Oreochromis niloticus: one gene and its partners. The protein of the gene in region 3 interacts with the protein of the main gene of each other region in a pairwise test. Links are inferred from orthologs where the notes say so. Each region holds a gene or a part of one and is shown on either strand. Other genes may lie near its edges.

Region 1 (7,922 bases), about 19 Mb from region 3:
TGAAATAGTTGTTTTATACATTACAATATACAGTACAATTATTTACACAGTGAAATCCAGGTACTGGATTACATGCAACTGTCGTAACAGACCAAACAAACAAACAAACAAACAAAAAAAACATGTCCCAGCTCATGAATTTTCTGTTATCTTTTCATACTGATGCCAAAACATGTCAGGGTAAAAAAAACAAAACAACAAAAAGCAAACAAAGAAAAAAAGAAAATCAACGATCCATCCCAGCGTCATCTGACTGCTGCCCGGAGAAACACATAACCCTGAGTCGCTCACAGAAATCAAGTTCTTCCTGTTGGAAACAAACATGTGACTTTAAGAGGCAGAAATGGAAGATTCAGCTTTCTTATTTTTATTTTTTTAAACAAATTCAGTTATATATCTCTTCATTGTTTACAACTAGTTAGCCTTTAACCACAATCACCTCTCTTTTACATGGAAAAGACACATTTCATGACAGAAATTAAATTTTGTAGCATAACCACAACATTTCTATCCAGTTTTACGATCTGATTCTCAAACACATGAATTACCTGACTTTCTTCTTTGCCTTGGAGCTCTTTGGATCTCTGTCGGAGTAATTCTTCCAGGCCCAGAGCAGGATTCCTGCAGTCTTTGAGCCCTTGTGGAAAGTCTTCCACCAGACTACACCACCATCAGAAACAAGGACGGGTACAGTTACTAATACAATCCATGAAATAATGTCAGATTTTCAGTATCATAATGAATGTTTCTTACCAGCAAAGGGCACCAAGCACATGTTCATGGACGGGTGAATGCGGTGTACGGAGAACTGATACCAGCTGCTGTACCATACCCATGGCGACAAGTGTGTCTGTGGGGGAAATAATCAGGAATATACTTGAGTTTATGTACATCAAGCAATATTTTAAGAAAAGCTTGTAAACCTTTAGATAGATGTTTAACGAGTAAACCAATTAAAAATCCAAAGTAAAAGATCTGATGTGGTTCTTCTTGTTATGGTCTACTATGTATGTGTAGTTAAGAATAAAATAGTTTTTCCATGTTTTCCCCGGACAAAGGTAGCAAGCTCAGTGAGAAACACACATACCGCAAAGATAAAACTAAAAGGGAGAAAGTATAAAAGTTTTAACACAAGATTTAATTGTTAAAAAATCTTTTTAAAAACTGTTTATGTTATTTTACCCTTTAACTGCAGAACTTGCCATATTGGCGACTAATCATGGATGAAGAGCAAAGCTGTGCAAAAACTTAAATAAAATATCTTCATTTTCCACAGAAAAGGTGGCTCTATAAGCTGTTAGAGACATTAATAAACCATGTTGTGTCTTAATAAAAGGCTACAAAGTGTTGTATTGTCAAAGTAAACCTACTGGTACTGGTGCAGGTTTACAGCACTATCCTGTCTGAATGTCCTTCCCATCCATACCTTTCTGTTCGGGATGTGACGTCAGGAGATTGAGCAACAGGAAAGCCGACTTGGTTCTGAGCTTCTCGTTCTCCGACTGCATGCCTCGCATCAGCACGGAGAATCCATCGTGGGACAGGAAGGCCTGGAGACCTGCCTCCTGCTCTCGAACCAGACCTATGATTACGACAGGACACAGTTTTGTTGAGTGTTGTGAAGCACAGAGCTGGGACAATAAGACGGTGCCATGTGCCATTTGGCACTTAAGAAGAAAGCAGCAGATAATTTAGGGTTAAAGTTGAATTGAGAGGAAACATGAGATATAACAATATCATAAACATAGGTGATACATTTGGGAGGCTGGCCACTAAAAATAGCTGTTGAATAGCCTGTCCATCTAAAACATCAACTATGGGAACCAACTGTTGACCTCACTAAAATTCTCACTGTGACACGGACAATCCGAGGTTCTGGATCATGTATGTAAAATGACTGATGTGCAGCAATTTGTTGCAGACTTGTTGTCATGAAGTTCAATTTTGAAGCAAAACAGACGTGTGTGTTATGGCTCTACTCACATGAGACAGCGTAAAGAGCTTTCACCCTGACGGTGGGGTTTGGGTCTGAATCTGTCAGCTGCAGCAGCTTCGGCAGCGCCCCGATGCTAAGCAAGTGGAACTGCAGCTGTGGCATGTTCTGGGCACAGGAGGCAATGAGCTGGGCAGCACGCCACCTCAACCCACTTTGGGCATGATTAAGATACTGGGAGACGCACAACTCCAGCCCACCAAGGGTCATCAGGTCTGCAGAGGACAAGATGCGGTGAGCAACCAACAGTGAACACATGCTGTCTTTAGCGTGGCCTCTGCTCTAATACCATTTATTACCTCTGGCATTGTCCAGATTCTCACACAGCTCGGACAGCATCTCAAAGGCCGTTTCCCGCTCATCGTCCTCATCATCGTCTTCCCTCTCTTCCTCTCCACCCCTCTCCCTTTCACTTCCTTCTTTGCGCAGAACAGCCAAGCACTGCTTCATCTGCTCGACTTCATCCATCTGCCCTTTGCACAATTCTGTAAGAGCTTCTCTCAGCCATGTTTTCCTCTGGAAGAAAGAAAAAAAAAAAGAGCGTGAAGCAGTTTGTCATGCTGAATTCAAATTCTCTGATGTGATACCTCCAAACACGCATTAACAAAAAAAATAAAGGATGAGGACATCAGTGTCTTACTCAAACACATGAGATTTCAAGTGATGTGCAATTATATATTACTGTACAAAAGTCTTGAGTCACCCCTCATTTCTTTATATTTGACTTCCAAGAAACCAGACTTTCTTTGAATTTTTAAGCAATAGTTGAGCAATAACTCTCCAGGATTTCCAAAGATCTTTCAAAGCTTTTCTTTCAACATTGGCTTCTTTATTAAAAAACTGATTTTCAGTCCAGTCCTTGTACCTGACCATTTTTAGAAGAATGTTTCTTCGTTAGTCTGCTGAGCCACTTAACATTCAAGCACAAACAAGGCATCAAACTTAAGAGATGATGCCACTGCTGTGTCTTCACAAAACAGAGAACTTAACATAAAACAATTTAACACTGTATCTTTAAACATTGTTACAATTTCTTTAGCTGAATTTTTTTTTAATTTCAAAGACAGAACCGTTTGAAACAGTGTTTTAGAACCAACACGGTCATTCCCAGAGAGCTGCATGGTGTGCAACGTTTCCCGAATTTGAGGAAACTGCAGAAAGGGAGGACACAAGAAGAAGAAGTAGCACGCCTGAAAAACTAACTACAGCAAATTAACAGTATACATAGCACTATAGTTTTAAGATATCGAGCCCCTAAGTAGTATCAGTTATTGGCTGACACCTGAATAAAAACATTTGTGATGGATCAAGCTAAGAATTTAACTCTGAAAAGAGAACATCATTGATGGCATTGGTATTTATTTACTTATCAAATTTAAAAGTTCATGGTGGGATGTTTTACAAAGTGGAGCAACACATCTTACCAAATGCTCCTGTATAAACAAAAGTATTTATTATTGTTGTTGTTATCATTTTTGGACCCACTCTACTACGTTATTATTACTATATTATTGTAGGATCTACTGTACAATATAAACCGCCTTGAGGCGACTGTGGTTGTGATTTGGCGCTATATAAATAAAACTGAATTGAATTGAATATCCCCATGCAAATGAGGGTTTATTCTACTTATTTAAGCCTCAGTTTTGTCAAAGCCACATTATGAGGCTAAGCTACAAGAGTTACACTGCAGTGGTCCTGGTGTGAGCTACAAAGTCTACAAAGGTCATCTGGCCTGATCCTGCTTAGGGAACAAGTACTTACCTCTTCTGACATGGGTTCAGGAGGGGCAGGACCCTCTGCAGCGGATCCAGCCTCCACTGCGAGCTGAAGGACCCCTTGGAGGTTCTGGGGATATCTCCTGGTCTGCCTATCTTCTGACATGGTGTTAACAGCTACAGGGTAAAGTGGAGAAAAGAAAGTCAACTAAAGGAAGATTTCAAAATAACCTCAAGTTAATTTAAGTGTACTAGCAGTGGTACCAGGTAAAGCCCCACAGTTTATATCACCAGGATCATACTTTACTATAAACATACAGCTCTGCTAATAATACAAAACCTGCTGCTAGCCTCATATAACTACGGTTATCGTTGCCCACTTACCTTTAAACCGACTCCAAAACAACGTAAAGTTAACAGACGAAGTTTCTCTCTGAGCTCAGATACAGCTCTCCCCCTCTATAAACACAGAAACGTGAAAGCGCTGGAACGTTCTAGCTAGCTCTTCATCTCACGAGTGGCAAGGGGGGCGCCATGTTTTACCGTAAAAAGTAAACCAAATGGGCAAGCAAAGTAATTTTTGGATACTCTTTACTCTCAAATCAAAGTCATTTTAGACTTTCCATTTTTTGCTTTAAAGTCAGCCTCTCAAAATTATAATGGTGAACATCTGACTGACAGTATTACCTCAATATTTAAAAATTCATAGACGCAAATGTTCCTATACTAGTATAGTTACGGTAATCCAGTAACGCTGGTACGCACAATTTACAAAGAGAATTAGTTACATCAAAATAAATATGCAAATCCCAGAAGAAACGTGTCAGAAGAAACTATGAAAGGCATATCGATTGCGATATGTTTGGTATTATTTATGTATCTGTTATAAAATACACACAACTTAATAATGAATGTAAAAAATAATATTTACCTTTTAGATATCAGTAAACATATTATTAACAAACATTAAGTTCAGGCTACTTGGGATTGCTCTCTTATTTTTGTCATAATAGCTACATAACAGATACTTTCTTGTTTTAATGGGTTTTAGTCTTTTGCTTAGTCTAATGTAATCATTTATAATAGTAGTATTAGTAGTAGTTACGTTAATAGTTACTGTTTTGAACATTTTACGCACCAACTTAAACATGCGCATGTGCATGTACGTAAAAGAACGACATCATTGGGGCTGGGAGATTATTTTCTTGAATTCCGATCGCCTTTGGTTTGTCTAACCAGCAAAGATGGCGGCGCTTGTGGGGCTGCGTGCGTGTTTGTCCGGTAAATATTGTTTAATTCATTTAAACTATGTCACTCTGTTTGCATTTCTGACAGTTAATTGATTTACACCACCTTTATTGATTTATACATAATATCAAACACTGTTCGGACATTTAGAAGTACAAGAATATGAAAAATAAAATGTGATGCTGTGTCTTCCGACAGCAGAGCAAGGTCACGTTACCAGTGACGGTTAGCTAACAATAAGACTAACCGAGGATGAAGAATGATTACTAAAATCAGCACCTGGTAACCAGACACGAAGGGAAACATACTGTTGATATAGGTAGTCTTTAAAGAGAGGTGAAGCCGTCCTTTTTGGTTCTAAAGGCATCAAAATGGATTAATGTTAGCTGCAGCTGTTAGCATGATATAACCTGCCTGGTTTATGCAAAACTCTTTTTATTAGCGCTGTGTCTGGCACAGAAGCTTCACGGCCAGTGCGAGTGCAAAACATCCGGAGCTGTGCAGCCAATGCTGACTGAGATTTTCAGGAAAAATGTGTGTGGCCGTCAGTGCTAATCTCATTTATGTGAGGGCACGCCTGCACTGATTGAAAGGAAAATGAAGGCATGAATAGCCAAATGTTCAATGACACAGAATTAATACGTATTTCCGAATTTTAAAAAGGTAAATAGTTTAAATATGTTTGGCAATGTTTTAATTATTGTGTTGTGGCACCAAGTAGTCACTCTTTATGTAAGTTTGTCCAACTTTTTGATTCCCTTTTCTCAGCCCTTCAGCTTTCTTCACCAAGCCTCCTGCACAGCTCCTTCAAATTGGTAAGTAGTTGCACAAACAGCATGCTGCACGCTGTGAAGCATTGATTTTTTGCAGTGGTTAAATTATTGGGTTCTTCTTTGTCACGCAGTGTGCTGTGCCTCTGAGCCGGCGAACCTTCGCTGCGGAGGCGAAGAAGACGTACAGCAGAGACAAGCCCCACGTAAACATTGGGACGATCGGCCACGTCGATCATGGCAAAACCACCCTGACGGCAGCCATCACAAAAGGTAGACCCACTCAAGCTGCTGCTGTCACACCGGTCTGGACACAGTCTCATGTTAATGTGTGTAATAACTTTGTTTAGTCTACAGTGAATTTGTTTCACTCAATTCGATCCTCCCCAGTGCTCGCTGATGCTGGTGGGGCCCGCTACAAGAAGTATGAGGACATTGACAATGCCCCAGAGGAGAAAGCCAGAGGAATTACCATCAACGCCTCACATGTAGAATACACCACAGCCAACAGACATTATGCTCACACAGACTGCCCTGGACACGCTGACTATGTCAAGGTATTCTTTTTTTTTTTTTTTTCCCCTTCTTTAACCTGGATGCAGCCTGATGTTACCAGGATGTAATCCCACCTGTTTGTTTGATGTTATAAGAAATGCATCTGCTTTTCTTTTTCAGAACATGATCACAGGCACAGCTCAGATGGACGGCTGCATTCTGGTGGTGGCAGCCACTGACGGCCAGATGCCTCAGACACGTGAGCACCTGCTGTTGGCCCGGCAGATCGGCGTAGAGCACGTGGTGGTTTTCATAAACAAGGCGGACGCTGTAGAGGACAAGGAGATGCTGGAGCTGGTGGAGATCGAGATCCGCGAGCTGCTCACAGAGTTTGGCTACGACGGCGAGAACACACCCGTTGTGATTGGCTCTGCACTCTGTGCTCTGGAGGTGAGGAGAAACGCTTTGTACTTGCAAAACAGTCGCAGCTCTGTCAGTCAGGGAAGTTTCAGAGTAATTTAATCTTGACATCCAGAAGTCAAAATTTTAGGTTATCTGAAATATTCAGGTTCTGAGAAAATAATTTGAATTTTCAAGCTGTCAAGTCAAAATTTTGAGGTAACCTCAGGCAAGTTTGTATTTCGTCAGTGGTGGAGAACAAGTTTCAAGCTAGAATGTGATGTGTTTTAATTATAATTTTTTTTCCCCCTCTATTTCAGAACAGAGCTCCTGAGCTGGGCGTGAATGCAGTGATGAAACTGCTGGAGATTGTGGACTCGTACGTTCCTCTGCCCAAAAGAGAGCTGGAAAAGCCTTTCCTTCTGCCCATCGAAGGGGTTTATTCAATCCCAGGTAGGAGAAAACACTATCTGATATTGTCAGTCTGAAGCTAATTGGGTAGGAATAATGGTGATTTCTCTTCATTTCCATTGGTTGCGTCATGTAAAGTGGTAGGCAAATGGAAAAGCGAAAGAAAATGATAAACTTTTTAAACCAGGATGCAGAGCTCAAAATATCCAAACATCCAAATCAAGATTCACTCTTTTAAGAAATAAGGCTGAATTTTTAACCATCATTGGGTCCGTTACTTCCTCAGGCTGTCTTCATGCACAACAATTATAAAAAAGTACAAAAAAAAGCAAAGTACAAATAAAGATTTAAAGAAATATATACAAGAAATTAATATGCAAACAGTGAAATGAGTCAAAAGGACCTGAGCTTTAAAATCTGGGTATCAACTTTGCCATAGAGATCGATGCTCCAGTGATGTATTGTGCAGTTTTGTCACATGTTGCAGAGCTTTGCTGTACTGAACAGTGCAGCTCCCAGCAAAGCTACAAAGAAACATTTGTATGGTGTTTTTGTTTTTCATATCCCACCAATGACGTCTTCAAAGTTAATTTTGTCATAATGCAGTCACAGCTTTGGAGCATCAGCAGCACAACTCATTAGTGATTTTACCAATTAGCAGTAAGAAGATTGCAGATCTCTGACTCTTTCGCTCTCAGTTCAGAAACAGTGTCGTGTACTTTGAGTCTGAAGGTTCCCGCTTGTGTTGCAGGTAGGGGTACGGTTGTGACGGGCACTCTGGAGAGGGGCGTCATCAAGAAAGGAGACGACTGTGAGTTTGTGGGCCACAACCGCAGCTTCAAGTCTGTAGTGACAGGTGAGAAACCTCCTATGGTGTTAAGATATGAA
Region 2 (8,059 bases), on a different chromosome or scaffold from region 3:
CTTAGTACAAATTATTGAAAATTATAGATATATAAATAAGGCACCATAAGTCTAGATTAGAATATGGCTGCCAATAATACTTTTTTTTTGTTTGTTTTTTTGGGGCTGCCGATAATACTAATGTAATAACGCCAACAAATGCTACGGAAGTGAGAACAGGAGTCATATCTCTAGCATACCCTAGAGACCAAAACGCAAATTGCCCGAAAACAATAAAGAAGAAGAAGAAGAAGAAGAAGCATTAGCATGTTGGAACATCATTTCCTGTCTTGCGCAAACCAGAGGAAAGAAAGTAAACATGGCGGCGGCGGAGAAATCGACGAAGGAGAGACTACTGTCTGTGCTGGATGATTTGGAGGTTTTATCCAGGTAAAATTAAACTTCGTGTGGGGGCTTTCTTGTGTCTCGTGTAAACGGTTTGGTAAGCTATCCGTATTTTATCTGTGAAGAGATAAAATACTCATATTTGGAGCCGTGAACTAGCACCCCCAGTTTGTGCTGATTACTAGCAGACATGCCGCTCACTGGCCGAAACAACGGCTTTTCTGAAAGAAAGATAACGAACCCTGGGATTTGAAACAACCTGAAACACTGTTCTAAGTCTTTTCTTGGAAACTTTTAGCAGTTAGAAGACTGAGTGTGTCCATTTTATAAAACAAGGTTGCTGAAGAGTTTGTAGGTACTACACTCAGCGGCTAATAGTCATTTTTAAAAGGAAACTACCACAAGAATGGCCAAAATGACTAATCAGAGAAACAAAGTGAACATAGGCGTACAGAAAACGATCGTCAGTATGAGCTTTAAAAAGTAAATAAATATATAAAGATAGAAATTGATTTGTTGGATTGAGTTGTGCTGTTTGACCCATTTCTCATTGTGTGTGCGTTCATTTCAGGGAGCTGATAGAGATGCTGGCCCTGTCCAGGAGTCAGAAAATGCCTCAACCTGGAGAGGACACGCAGGTAACACCCCACTCAGCCTGCAGTTGACACACCGAGATTTAAACAAACTAATGACCCTCACAGTGACCGTCAGACCATGTGTAGTCTTAGGGTTAGTGGTGATCAAAGCTTAGCCAAAGGCCTTCTACAAGCAAGTCTCACTATGTGGCAGCTATTCTAAAATGTCTCCAGCTATATATTTGGTCAGTGTTGTGAAACACTGTCCAGTTTGATACTTGTCTGCCACTCGGTGTCTGTATTTTTCCAGTTTCTGGTACTTGATCTTTAAGTTCTTTGTGGACTTGCACAGTCTTAAGTTTTTTGCTTTTTGCTGTTTTAAAGTTTTGGTGAGACATGATCACTGATACAGGATCACTGTTTCTTTAAGGACAAACCCTGTGCTTAATTGCTAACCATAATTTTTTAGATTTAAGCATTTAATTTTAATGCGGTCACATTTGAAGATATTTAGTTCCTTCCAACTGATTTTCTGTCGTCTTGTCCATAAATCTTTCATAACTTTTGAACCTTTTATTGTGTCTGAGTCTCCAGAGAATGCCTAAAATTATTTTACAAGTTAGACTTGACTGATTTTAGTTAGTTACAGTAACCTGTATGAAGCGTATCAAATAGGAAATCTTTGATAACAGAATGTGTATATGCTTTATCCATAAGATTCTGGAGCTGTTGGTGCAGAGGGACAAGGAGTTTCAGGAGCTGATGGAGGTGGCACAGCAGCAGGGGAAGGTTCACCAGGAGATGCAACTGCTGGAGAAGGAGGTGGAGAAGAGAGACAGTGACATCCAGCAGCTCCAGAAACAACTGAAGGAAGCAGAACACATCCTGGTGGGTTTGGCTTGTCTGTTGTTTTTAATTTTTAATTTTTTTTTTTTCATCCAGAGCAGGGCAACGCTGACAGATTGAAATAAATGCTCAAATGTTTTAAGTATGCTGGTGTAGCTGACACTGTGCTCTTACAGCAGAGGCGTTCAGGGTTATAGTGTTGCTATTGTAAATGTAAAGGGGCCTATGATTCTCTTCTTTTTCTGATTTACTTTGTTACAGATGTACATATTAAACATGGTCAAGGTTTAAAATAATGAGGCCAGCATATGAAGAGTCATGATAAACAGAAACTACATCTTCTTTAAATTCTAACATCATGTGACAAGTGATAGAGAGGACTGATATATTTCTGTGTATCTCTTTCAGGCCACTGCTGTTTACCAGGCAAAAGAGAAACTGAAATCCATTGAAAGAGCCAGGAAAGGTGAGGGAACACTCCCGACACGTTCTGGTGAAAGCTGTGTTTGATGGCTGGTTTTCTCTTTGATGTCTTGCTCATAAATTGACACTGTTTACATGTTCTCTGCAGGAAGCATCTCATCAGAAGAAATCATCAAGTATGCTCACAGAATCAGTGCCAGTAACGCTGTGTGTGCTCCTCTCAACTGGGTGCCAGGTATGTGCCAGGCTCTCTTGTAGCTCCCACCGGGTGTTGGTAAAAAGTTATGTTCAGCTTCATTCACTGTCATCATACTTGACAGGTGATCCACGCAGACCGTACCCTACCGACCTGGAAATGCGTAGTGGGATGCTTGGTCACATGGCCAACCTGTCCACCAATGGTGTGAATGGGCATCTGCCAGGAGATGCATTAGCTGCTGGGAGGTTACCAGGTAAGTCCAGCTGAGCAGTTAAAGAAAGGAGTGCCCATGCCTCCTGGCAAAGAGATTGTAGATGAGGTCAGAGGTTTGTTACAGTGATTTCAAAATGTATAAGTTAATAATTTATCGTTATAATGATAAAAAGTTAAAGGATGGATCCATTATTTTTCTTTTTATCAAGTATAAACACTGAACACAGATTTTATTTGTTGCCATTCAGACTGCATCCACATCATGTTCTGTAACATAAGAAACTTGGCAAAAAGTGCCAGCTTTCAGATACTATATAAGGGAGCTGAGATAAGTAGTGTCAGTCAGTGTCTGGCATTTCACAGAATAACCACTTTTCTCTCGTGTCACTTCAGACGTCCTGACGCCTCATTACCCGTGGCAGTCGTCTGATGTCTCAGTGGGGATGCTGCCCCCTCACCACGGCAATGACTTTGGCCTGGAGCCTCCGGGTCACAACAAGGAGAACGAAGATGATGTAGAGGCCATGTCCACAGATTCTTCCAGCAGCAGTAGTGACTCCGACTAAAAGTGTGTCTCAGAGTCAAGAGACGCTGAGACGTGTGTGTGTGTGTGTGTGTGTGTGTGTGTGTGTGTGTGTCTGTATGTTGGACTCAGAGCTCACCAGCGAGCAACAGCTGAGCAGGCATTTTCAGCTTCAGTCATTTATTGTGCCTGTGAGAAATTGATTTTTTAAATTTACCCTTTTTGAATATTAGTGAGTTTATGGTGTTAGTAGGTGGATTATGTTCCCTTTGGACAGAACCAGGCTAATTGGTGTTACTATACAGTTCAGTGAAACTACTGTATAAACTAGAACTAGCAAAAATGAACTTGTCATTCTGGACAGATCAAAGAATATCCTTCAGAAAACAAAGACCAGAGCCACAATAATTTGCCTTCTTTTGCTCTTTGGTGACACCGTGTGTATGTGTGTGTGTGTGAGAGACTTGATATCTAATTTTAGTTGGTCACGGTCAGAATGTTTGCAACGTAGTATATAAGTTGTGTAAATATGTCTGTAAATACTCAGTCTTGTAAATAAATACTTTTTGAATACTATTTTTCTACTCTTTTTTTTGTGTCTGGAATGTGGATTTGTTGTTTTGTTATTAATGTTTAGGAACACCAACTTTCAAATGTTCCTGAACACCATTAGATGGAAGCAGATACAGTCAGAGATCATCTCATCCATTACGGTTCAGTACGTTTCATGGTGCAAGGTGTTGTCTGTATGTTTTTAATTGTCAAATCTTAAATTTGAAAATTAGAACTGACACATATGTGCTGGAACACTATTTCCCACTGGAAGTGGAAGTAGAAAATAATGCAAAAGCGCAATAAGTACATCAGGGCCATCTTGCATTTGGCAACTTTTTTGAGTGGAAAGATGAGGAGATAATAGAGATACAAGCCAGAAATGAGCACTGGGTAGATATGGTTTCATTTCTTGTTACATAGAAGTGGAACTAATGTAAGAGTGCAACACGGTGCCTACATGTTTTTTTTGTTTTGTTTTTTTTTTAAAAACCAGCCATGAGATATGGCTTCGTTTATTAATTTACAAGTTTATACTTGACACTAAGAATTGTATTTATTTAGGTTAAAGGTCGGAAGGAGTCTTTATTTACAGTATGTTGAGGCAATGATAGTGCTGCCTTTAGGAACTCATTGTAAAACACTATGTTGTTGTATACTGTGGTTAAAGATTGAAATAAAGATTTGTTTTTGCAGTATGCAATTAAAATTATGTGACGTAGCCAATTTGAGTGTTTTCAGTGTTATGAAAAGGGGGAAATAGGCATGAATTGGATATTTAAAACAAATAAATACATTTAGCTACTTTTTAAATGCTCATTTTTATTCCTTAAAGTAAGTACACGTGTCTTCAGATATTTGAACACACACCAGCAGTCATTCATCCTAAGCACTGTACAATGGTAGTAAAAGGGCCAGATTCAGAAAAAAACAATAAAAAATTTTGTTCATATTGAGATTTCGGCCGAAATTTCATCATTACACTCGAAAAACTATTTTGAGGGGAAAAAGGCGAAATGTGGAGATTGCACACCGTGTTTATGGTTAAAAATAAACAATTTACTTGTAACGTAAATCGATTCTGAAGTACGATTTTACTTGCTCATCTACGCAAGGCACTTTGCAGAGGGCTTTAATCTCTACATTTCGACTTTATTCTCAAAATACTCATTCGAGTTTTAAAAAAAAATAGTATTTTGACTTTTTTCTCAAGAAGGTTTTTCGATTATTCTCAGAATAATCATATAGATAGATAGATAGATAGATAGATATTAATGTGGCCATAATATTCCTTTCATGGGACTGAACGTCAATTGTGGAATTTCCGACAGCATTTGAAATTGCCAGTGGGGAGGGTGTCTTTGGAATTGCACTACGCATGCGTGTTCAATCCACTTTGCTGTAGAGGGAGACATGGCGACGTCCCTGATTTGCGGCCGTTTGACGGCTAGCCTGAGAACTTCAGGGGCTAGAAACACTATTAGCTCCGCTTGTAAGGTAAGTGTGTATCCACAATGGAGGAGAACGTTTGGGCTGTCGAGGAATGTGTCTGTTATGGCACCACACCTTCCCCGAGGGTTAAAAGTTCTCCGAATCTGACAGGGTCAAATTTGACATTAGCACAACTCCATTGAGTTTCCGTTATTTTGGCTAACACGCTAACTAGCACATAGTTAGCATGGCCGGCTGTCAAATCTGCAGATCAAGCAGTAAAAGGCCAAGGAATCCCTGTGCCCTTAGTCTTTTCTGTAGCCGTGCACTTCGTGTGGCTGTGAACGGCATTCTTGGTGGAGGATATGCTCAGTGAAGCTCAGTGACCTCCACCGGCAGCTGCTACAGCTTCCATCCCTGCGATTCCTCCCCTGTCACATCTGTCCCGCTGGGTCTTCTTGGAAAGTTAACTGGACAAATCCGCTCAGGCTCGGAAGCATAAACAGCGTTCACCGCAGAGATACGCTGTAAATATACAACGGGGGGAACAGCAAGATAAAATGACGGAAGAGATCTAACCGGGAAGAGCGCGCAATTCAACCGGGAGTCCATTACACCAGGGCCCCCATAAGATAGAGCCTGACCAGGAAAATTCTGAATACTCTACACCGAGCAGAATGACGTTATTTATGTCGTATCGGTGGGAGGCTTTGGGTCTCGACACTCTGGTGGATGTTCTTCTAACACCACCAGCCTAGACATCGCTGCAGACACCTGACACCACAGGAGAAACCCAGTGGTCTCATGGCTGTGCTCTGGCAGTCCGGAGCTGTTTTGGAAGCATGAAGAGGACTTACACAATACAAAACAGCTGGTTTTAGTGTTTTGTCTTATCGGTGGTAAAAGTATCAGCATTCTTAACAGAAGTCTCTGTGTCATCTTATTGAAAGTTTGAAATGCATGTAAAACTTATTTTGACACATTCCGTTCAGATAACATCAGGAAAGCTTTACATTTGTTTTACTAAAAAGGTATCTGCAGGTTGTTGAAGCTCTCTAAAAGCACTGCATTCAGTTCTTTTCTCCAAAACTCAGAATACACTGTTTAGTGACAAAATATTTGCATTTTTTTTCAGCTAAAAAATTTATAGTATACTGGTTTGAAAGATGGTTGAAAGGTGTAATATAGATCAACGAAAAAGAACAGTGATCTTTAAATGGTTTCATTCTTTTTAGGCTACTTGTCAGGACAGTTTGCCTACACTTATATTCATCAATAGCAATTTTTGAGTTATCCATCTGGAAATGTGATATAATGTATATTGTAATTGCAGTATTGTTCTGGTTTTTCACTTTGAATGGTGTAACAGTGAAATACTACATGTGCTACACATTATGTGGTTGCAAGAGGGACTTTAAAAGTGTTACTTGAGTAGCCAACAAAAAGTCTTCAGTTGCTCCCTTTTTTTTCTGTTCATTGTAATCTTGATAGTGTGTGCACACCTATTAGAGTTAATAATGTCTGTTTACACACACTTTTGCTTGTGATATAATTTTATAGAGTGTGTAAAGGTAACAGAACGAAGTAATGTTTGACTAATTGTCTGGTATCTGAAACCTCAAAAACCATTACAGGTTTAGTTCTTCAAATGTCTTGTTTTGTTTTAGCTAAACACTTACTTCAGTCACAGGTACACCATACTGGTACCTGGGGGGACGCCTTTTGGTCTTCAGAACTGCATTAATTGTCCGTGGCACAGATTTAACAAGTGGCTGGAAACATTCCTCAGAGATTTTAGTCCATATTGACATGGAGCATCACACAGATGCAGATTTGTCAGCTGCACATTCATGGTGTGAGTGTCTTGTTCCGTCCTGTCCTAACGGTACTCTGTTGGAATGAGATCTGGTGACCGTGGAGGCCATCTGAGTACAGTGAGAGCTTTTAAATGATGATCAGTTTGTACTTAAGGAACCAGAATGTTCCAAGAAAATATTCCCAACACTATTATACCACCTCATTAGCCTCAGCTATTGAAACAAGGCAGGATGGAGCCTGTTACGGTCAGCTTTGATGCTATCATCTGAATATCACAGCAAAAATCCAGAATCATTATTCTGTTGACTGTTTTTGGTGAGCCTCAGTTCCTGTTCTTATCTGACAGGAGTGGCACCTGGTGTGAGCTTCTGCTGCTTTAGTCTGAGTGGTTAATGGAGCTACTGTTGCCTTCTTGTTAGCTCAAAGCAGCTGACCATTCTCCTATCACCTCTGACATCAACAAGAAGGCATTTTTACCCAGAGAACCGCCACTCACTGGATGTTTTCTTTTTCAGTAAACCCTAGAGGTGCAGATCAGCAGTTTCTGATACTCAGACAAAGCCCATCTGGCAGCAGCAACCATTCCACCATCACAGTTACTTAAATCGCTTTGTTTCTCTGGTCTGATACTGAGTTTGAACTTTAACAGGTTGTCTTGACCATGCCTATTTGCCTAAATGCTGATTAGATATTTGTGTTAATAAGTAAATATGTGAAGCAGGTGTACCTAATAAAGCAGCCAGTCTTTTTTTTTTTTTTTTCCATGCTTCAACCTGCATAAATCTGGAATTTCATGCACTGTTTTTTGTTTTTTCTTGACCAAAAATGAAAAGTTGTATTTTTCTTTTGGTCCACTGATTTAGTTGAGGAAATAAACGTGATTGTCTAATGCCCAGCTGACATGCTTCGAGTAACACTTTGTTTCACATCCTTGTTAAAATTTCCAGTGTTACTTTTGTGGTCCTACGGACTGTGAATGATTCTCTCTTCCTCTAAGGATGGTAATGTTTTGTGGTGTAGGAATTTTATCTTGTGGGTTTAGTATCTGTGATTTTCACATGTTGCTCTAGCAATATTGAGCAAAAGTTCTTCAGCTTTTGCTTAACGAGTGTGCTGCCATGGCATTGTGTGATCAGATTTAGGACATTTTACGTA
Region 3 (7,423 bases):
AACTTTTTTAAATTGTTCTTTATGCTTAAATAAAAGTCTGCAAAAGCAATTAAAGTAAATATAAAATTTTAAAAAAAAATCGAAAAATTAAATAAATTTTAAAAATGTGTGTGGAATAAAGTACTGTACAAGTAAAGATCCAAAGTAAAAATATATTAAACAAAAATGTAGAATTACGTTAAAAAAAAAATAATCTTAAAATACTTTAACTTAAATTAAAAAACAAGATTAGTGTAAAAATAAAGACACTATTATACGGGTTAAAATCAATAAATAAAAATAAAACAATAGTATAAAAGGTAGGAGTAGGAAAACCTGTACAGACAGTATTTGTTCCTACAATTATGCCGACAGCTCCCTGATCCTGAACAGCAGCTGAAGAAATTCTCACTGAGGTAAGATAACTTTTAGAAATCTTTCAGGATGTGGTTACGGTTCGACAACAAGAACTTTTCTCATAAAACGCTTCCGCTGCTAATAACCAAATATTCTGATGCAATGGTAGACGTTATAAAACTGGCAGTGTCTGAAGATTATTAGCTACTACCTGTTTAAAGCCTCAGACTGTCACAGGTGTGTCATTAAATCCGTTTCTCGCACTCTTTTTGTTTTTTGTTGACACGGGTTTGTTTGAAGCTTCGGTTCTCCGCAGGCTGGAGCAGCCTCTGAACCGGTTACCACACGCTGTGGGGGCCGGTGTGCGTCTCCGCTCGTGTTTAACGTGAATTCTTCTTCATTTGATCTGAATTTATTACCGCTAACAGTAATTTTTTGGCGCACTAACACGTGCGACATAACAGGCCCGCTGTTGCGCCTGATTGTTAAATAAGCTCAATTATGATGACTAGCGCCAACAGAACCGAAGTGATACGCAGATATATATATATATATATATATATATATATATATATATATATATTAAAGGAGTAAATGCAGCTTCTCTGACATTTGGTTTCCTTACCAACTGGCGAATGTAACGCCATGTTTCTAAAGGCCTCTCAACACACAGCGAAGCTAATATAGCTAACGTGTTTGATACGTACCAGCTTGTTCTCCGGGCGGGGGCGAAGAGAAAACGGCGTCTGAGATAATTTGGCGGTTAATAAGGTCCCTTACAATCACACGATCACAGAAATTAGATTATAATAACAGTGTCTTTAAAACAATGCAGAGATAAAGAAACGCTGCTAGCTCCGTTAGCTTTCAGATAGCCCCTCTGGTCTCCAACCGCAGGAAGAACGAGACTCACAGTGACGTCAGAAGCACGCAGGCGCGGATAAAGACTGACGCGTTCAGGTTCTGAAAGACAGAACCATATTCACAAAACAAAACAAAAACTACACCGTTCTGTCGTTATCCCCAATACATGAAAGTCTGGAACCGGCTGTTTGCAAAGTCCGAGTCTCTGATCCTATGGGTATCATCCAGTAGGCACTGCATACCTTGGATGGAGCCAGCTTTATAGTCCTCTGAATGTCGATCCTGCTCCCTCTAAAGGTGTGCTTGCCTGGGTGGCCTTGCAGGTCAGCTGCAGTCCTTCAGACACATCCGTCATCATCCGTTCCGTGTCGATAAAATCCAAATAGGAAGGGAGTCAAATCCTTGGAAGTTGCAATCCAGCAGGAAACAGACAAATGCTTTGACGTTATAATCCAACAAAAATAAGCAGAAAAAAGGCCAAAAAATATATAAATCCAATTTGTGAGTCCACAGTATTGCACTTTGATCAGCTGGCGTTTTTTGCTGTAATTTCCAACTGTGAATTCCCAATCCCAGATCTTCTGATACTGAAACTAGAGGAAGAACAGCTTATTCCGTCTGCATGGGGTGTTTGTGCATGTTCTTCTTCTCTATCCTCCCCTCCTTGATCTCCACGAGACATCTATGACACCTACATCACTCTATGCTGCTCTCTCTCTACAGCCTTTCAAATACATGATTTAAAGCAAAGTTCAGTCACTTTCATTATCAGTCACAAATGACTATACTTTACTTTTCATTCAGTTTTTATGTTGTTGTAGGATGAACATCATCACTCTTTATGATTCTAACTTGATCTCTTTTTAACTCAGTTAGGAATACTTTTTCTCTGCATGACTCGGCATTTGTGACTCACAGTATACTCAGTATCACTTGTTTTGTTCAGAATCATGCATGATGATGGGCCGGAGTCACATTTCACTCTTTTACACGCACACTCTATCCACTGTGCTCTCTCTCTCTCTCTCCCACACACACACACACACACATACACACTGAGTCAAGGATACATCATAGTCATAACAATGCTCCTGGAATCTGGGTGAAAAAAATCAGGCATCTCAAAAACTGAAATTTGGATTGTAAGGGACGTTATTACGCTAAACTCAAACTACAGTTCTCATTCATTATATTGATCAGACTTATACTTGATTATTTTCTGATTATAATTATAAATCATTAACTGTTTCAAAATCATGTACTCTGTTTTAAAACTCAGTGTGTCTTTAACAATAAAGGAGCTGGATGTTAAGTCCTTTTACTCCACTTTTTGGTAAAGATGAGCCTGGGATGTCAAATCTCTTTGACATTATTTATATATAGATCAGAACATGAGTTTATTTTATGAAGAATTTACAAAAATATGAGGAGAAATGTATTGAGAACATAATTTCTTATAGGCCTAACTAGGTTTGTGTCCTTTGAGTGCCAAAAACAGAAGACAAGCTGCATCTCTCTCCTTTTTAAAATGTTCAATACAGTTCTGTTACTCCCCCTTCCTTCTGTCTTAACACAAGGCTGGAATAAATTATTTTCATGCTGTCTATGTCTATGTGACATGTTAAGAGGATGAACGAGGACAGTGATGAGGGGTCCTGAGGTGTGCAGGCATGAGATTCAAGGTGGGGGAGATCACAGGGTCATGGACTATGATGTTTACAGACAACATTGTGATTTGTAGTGAGAGTAGGGAGGAATGCTTTACACGTGTGTGAATGAGGGAGACGGACGTAACAGTAGCATGATCTGACATCTTGGCGTTGTTCCTACATCATCATAACGATGGTGGTCCAAGATCAGCGTCACAACTGACCAGTGATGTTGTCTGAGCGTGCAGTTAGCATTAAATGACGGTGGCTAACACTAAACCAGAATTGATCATATATTTATTGTATTGTATAAATTGTATAAAAACACTTGGACTGCAGACCATTTGTTCCAGAAGAAAGTTTTATATAAACAAAGGAATTTAAAAAAAAATCCTATCATATTGCAAAACTATGACAACAACATGATTCATTAGTTGCAATGTTGATCAACATTATTATGATAATGTAGGTACAACACCAAGGCGTAGAGATAGAGGTCACAGCAGAGGATGTAAAGAAGCTGGATTATCACGTGAAGAAACAAAGCAAGACCTTCCTGTAGTGAACTAGTTTCCTTTCATTTTACAATACTGATTTCTTTTTAATTTATAAAATCTCCCAAATTAAAATAAATGGTAGTTTTCATTAACCTGATAACATTTCAAGTTTCTACTTGTCCCAGAAGACCGAGGTGGATGTGGAATTTAAAAATGATCTTTATCCTGTAGAGGGGGCTGTTTAATGGCTTTTGGACTGTGTTAACGCGCTGCAGATACTTCATTACAAACTTTAAACTGTAATAAAATGCAATAAAAAACGTGTATTTTCTCAGCAGAAAGTGTCAGTAAAGCGCAAAAATGAGCATGCCTTTAATTTTAATGGTGACATCATTTCTGTAACGCTTTTTTCAATAAAAGTAAAGAGAAACTTATAATTTTTTTTGATATTTTCTCAAAGTTTTCTTTCTTTTTTCCTCTTTAAAAATGGGATTTAACTTTATTCTTAAAATGCCAAATTAAAATAAGCTCCTGTAATGCTTCCTTTTTCTTAATGTGTTTAGCTGTTGTTCATTTAAAATGAATTTAAAATGCTGCGTTACATTTTAAATTCTATTTTTTGTTGTTAAATTTGAAATGGTGTACTCTGTTACGTATATGCTCTATTATGCAGTAACTTAATATTTTTAATTTAAAAGTATGCTTTAACTCTCTTGGATTTCATATCAGATTGTATCTTATTAAATTATTATTAATGTATTAATCTTTCGCTTTAGCTAATTAGCTAACACTTCTTTGTAGTTATATTAATTTGTTCTTATGAATATGGGAAGTTTAAAGAATAATAAATAATTTTTGAATATATTCATTGTCATTTTTTATTTTATCTTGATAAAATTTATGATTGTGAATAAAAGATTATGTAAAAAAAAAAAAAAAAAGATGTTTTCGACAGGCAAGGATCAATATTGGAACTCCATTACCCAGAGTGCCTCTATGGACAGGTGTGACGTATGTTTTTCAGTTAAAAACATCCTGCCTCGGCTCGACCGTTAGTGGCGCTGAAGCTAACGGGAGCGGAGGGTGCTGTCCTTCTGTGGGTCGTTTCTCCGAAAACTCTTAAAAGAACTCCACATTAGAAAGTAGACCGCTCAGTTTAGCGATAATGGCGGAAGGAGACAACAAAAGCATGAACTTGATGGTAAGTATGAAGCATTTTTAAAACCCACAATGGCGAATTTAAAGGCTCGTGTTCGATGTAGGCGTGTTTGCAGCAGGAGCGTTAGCCTTACCCGTCGCTGCTAATCTGACGGCGCTAACACTACTGCGCTGTTTAGAGATTTGTGTAAATAGTGTGAACTTTACACATGCGGGCAGCTGAGAAGTCTAAGCTAAGCGATTTAACCCCGATCGCTTATCCGTCCGTGCTGCCGCTGACCGCAGCTAACCTTAGCTAGCTGACTAGTTAGCATGCTTATTTTAGCTTCAGTAGCGGGGACGCTTCCTTTTTGTGGAGCTGCTGCCTCGCCCTAACGCAGAAATCATTTTAAAGCTTTTAAAAAAAAACTGAGATCGAGTCATCACACGCTCATTCGACGTGGTTTGACAGCCTGTGTTTGTCCCCGGTTATTTCTACGTGTAGTGCTCTGTCACTGCGCCGTCTTATCACCAAAGACACACACCCTGTTTATTAATTTGCTTCTCAAATAGACTTCTAGGCCACAAAACACACAAACTGAGAGCCATATAAACGAGTATCGTTACATTCAGTTGCTCTGTGTATGAAACACAGCAGGATAAACCCACATCATATGACTTCAAAGGTGCTAGCCGCTCTTCCAGAGGCAGCACAGTACTGTCACCTTTATACTAACTCCTGGAGAGACTGCCCTCCTGAGTACACGCTCCTCTCAGATCACACTGATATCACACAGTTTGATGGTCAGTTAGGTAATGTGTAAATGTTTGTGTGTTCAGGCCCAGGAGACGGCCCAGCTGGAGGAGCAGCTGCAGTGCTGGCGAGAGGTGATCCTGGCTGGGGATCAGGTCCTGCGCTGGGAGAAGCCCTGGTTCCCCGGAGCGCTGATGGGTGCGACCACCGTGCTCTTCCTGTGAGTCTGCTACAGAGTGTGCGCTACACAGCTGGCACCACACGTTTCCTTCCTCTCAGCAGTGATGGCTATCTGAGAGCAGGGAGAGGCTTATATTAAATTTTTATATTTTACATCTGCCAGCGACTAAAAGCAGCCTGGTTTGAACTCAGATGGGCTGAGCAAAGTAAACCACTGTAGCATTTCTCATATTTGTTTCTTCCAGTATAGAGAGGTTTATTCTGAAACCCCCAGTAAAGCTAACAGCACACAGTGTTATGTCTTTGGTCAGCTATCTTCCTGATTTAATCAGCAGTCTGATGGTTGGTTGACCAAAGATTTGCATCACAGTATTTTACGATTCTGGTGGATTCCATGGATTTATTTTTTTTGTAGTATATTTTGTTTAAGTGGGTCTTTATGTAGTTTTACCTTCTTCTGTCAGGAGTATAAATTATTCAAAAACTACTTTAAGTATTTGACATAGGGCTATAATCACATCATAACTGTAAGTCTTTTCTGTTTTTGGGTTGGTTGTAATGTCACTTTTTCTTACAACTGTTGTGTACAGGTGATTCTGTCTCCAGGTGAAATCTCCTCTCTTGGAGTATCTCCCCTCGTTTTTCATCCTTCATCTGTCTGTACTGCACAGAGGCCTTCCTGTCTGCTAACATACTGCTAGAATTGCGCAGCAGCTCTAAATGGTGTAATTTAGGATGTGTAACGTGTTAGTGGTGCACAGCAGCCATTTCTATGTTTGCTCTGTTGAACTGAGTTAGCTTTGGAGTTTTGTCTGCTTTTGTAAACGTAAATGAGTCGTATAATTACAACCATGAGTGAGCAGGGTGCAGAGCTAATACAGGTCCACTTTCAGTGTGCTGCTTGTGGTCAACACACGCGCACACACACACGCACACTCTGGCTCTTATTAAAACCACTAGAAAAACCACGGTAGACATTTTAACTGTTTATTGTAGTGTTCAAGCTCAGACCATGATGTTGTCAGAGGAGCGCCACCCGGCACTGCAATTACAAAACTGCTAACCAACAGCCTCAGTTGTTTTTAGATCGATGAACCGAAGAAATCCAAAATGACAATAATTTTGTCTGTTAAACTTGACAAGTCGCACAACTCTCTTTCAGACACTTGTGCTCTTGGTTAGTAAAGCAGGCGTCACCACAGAAAGAACAGCAGTGTAACCGTCCCTCGGGGTGAAATGGAGGCTTTGGCAGGCTGATTCTGGCATTGAGTTTTGACTTATTACTAATTAAGATGATCAGCAGGCCTGTGACAAGTAATATAAGCCTACAGTGATGTAAAACCAGTGTCCTAATTACAGTTTTCCAGCTGGTTGTCAGAACACTCAGATTAATGTTAATCTTTTCCACACTGTTGAAACACAAAGCAAAACAATGCAGATTCTGCTAAATGAGCTTAGGTTGGGCCGTTATTAGCGATTCCTGAAATCTACTGAAGGTGAATCCAGACTAGAACACTGCTGCACTGTTTCTGATGCCTTCCTGCTTGTTTCACACACCCTCAGTGTTCATGTCTTTCAGCTGCAGGTGCTTTGTAAAACTGCAGCTCCAGCGTTCATGAGCAGATATCCCCAAATTGTAACAAAATAAAAATAAAGGCGTGATTTTAAACGATGAAATGTTCAAACCCGTTCTGCCTGTTTTGTGTTCGTCCTCCAGGCTCATCTACTACTTGGACCCATCAGTGCTGACCGGCCTGTCCTGCACCGTCATGCTGCTCTGCCTGGCTGACTATTTGGTGCCGACCCTCGCCCCCCGAGTGTTTGGCTCCAATAAGTGGTGAGAGCTCGGTCATATTTGCTTTGGCCCAATGAAGACAGGTTTTCCTGTTTTGTCAGTCGGTCACATCACACACTCTTTATGGGAAGCTGAACAGCAGGATGAGTCATGCATTCATCTTGAAATGGTGTCCGAGTTTCAGAGATGACCTCCAGCTTTGGTCTTTGAC

The links.
Region 1: the proteins of arl6ip1 (region 3) and tufm interact in binary tests that used the Homo sapiens proteins (3 or more experiments, as listed by UniProt). The two-hybrid records come from large-scale screens. The link is inferred for Oreochromis niloticus from reciprocal best matches to the Homo sapiens genes ARL6IP1 and TUFM.
Region 2: the proteins of arl6ip1 (region 3) and sucla2 interact in binary tests that used the Homo sapiens proteins (3 or more experiments, as listed by UniProt). The two-hybrid records come from large-scale screens. The link is inferred for Oreochromis niloticus from reciprocal best matches to the Homo sapiens genes ARL6IP1 and SUCLA2.

Annotation. Positions count from the first base shown.
Region 1 is NC_031969.2:14,220,011-14,227,932, reverse strand, and holds the start of tufm (elongation factor Tu, mitochondrial), read left to right. Parts: upstream 1-4,859; 5' UTR 4,860-4,955; coding exon 4,956-4,992; intron 4,993-5,727; coding exon 5,728-5,774; intron 5,775-5,863; coding exon 5,864-6,002; intron 6,003-6,119; coding exon 6,120-6,286; intron 6,287-6,404; coding exon 6,405-6,674; intron 6,675-6,943; coding exon 6,944-7,076; intron 7,077-7,785; coding exon 7,786-7,890; intron 7,891-7,922. Other genes in the region: hspbp1 (hsp70-binding protein 1), read right to left, coding at 227-307, 549-660, 754-850, 1,427-1,582, 1,984-2,208, 2,293-2,509, 3,758-3,877. UniProt on the Homo sapiens protein: GTP hydrolase that promotes the GTP-dependent binding of aminoacyl-tRNA to the A-site of ribosomes during protein biosynthesis. Also plays a role in the regulation of autophagy and innate immunity.
Region 2 is NC_031987.2:29,466,544-29,474,602, forward strand, and holds the start of sucla2 (succinate--CoA ligase [ADP-forming] subunit beta, mitochondrial), read left to right. Parts: upstream 1-4,996; 5' UTR 4,997-5,068; coding exon 5,069-5,152; intron 5,153-8,059. Other genes in the region: med4 (mediator of RNA polymerase II transcription subunit 4), read left to right, coding at 299-369, 896-962, 1,617-1,787, 2,154-2,211, 2,317-2,403, 2,489-2,620, 2,974-3,146. UniProt on the Homo sapiens protein: ATP-specific succinyl-CoA synthetase functions in the citric acid cycle (TCA), coupling the hydrolysis of succinyl-CoA to the synthesis of ATP and thus represents the only step of substrate-level phosphorylation in the TCA.
Region 3 is NC_031969.2:32,733,615-32,741,037, forward strand, and holds the start of arl6ip1 (ADP-ribosylation factor-like protein 6-interacting protein 1), read left to right. Parts: upstream 1-4,381; 5' UTR 4,382-4,511; coding exon 4,512-4,547; intron 4,548-5,323; coding exon 5,324-5,457; intron 5,458-7,134; coding exon 7,135-7,254; intron 7,255-7,423. UniProt on the Homo sapiens protein: Positively regulates SLC1A1/EAAC1-mediated glutamate transport by increasing its affinity for glutamate in a PKC activity-dependent manner.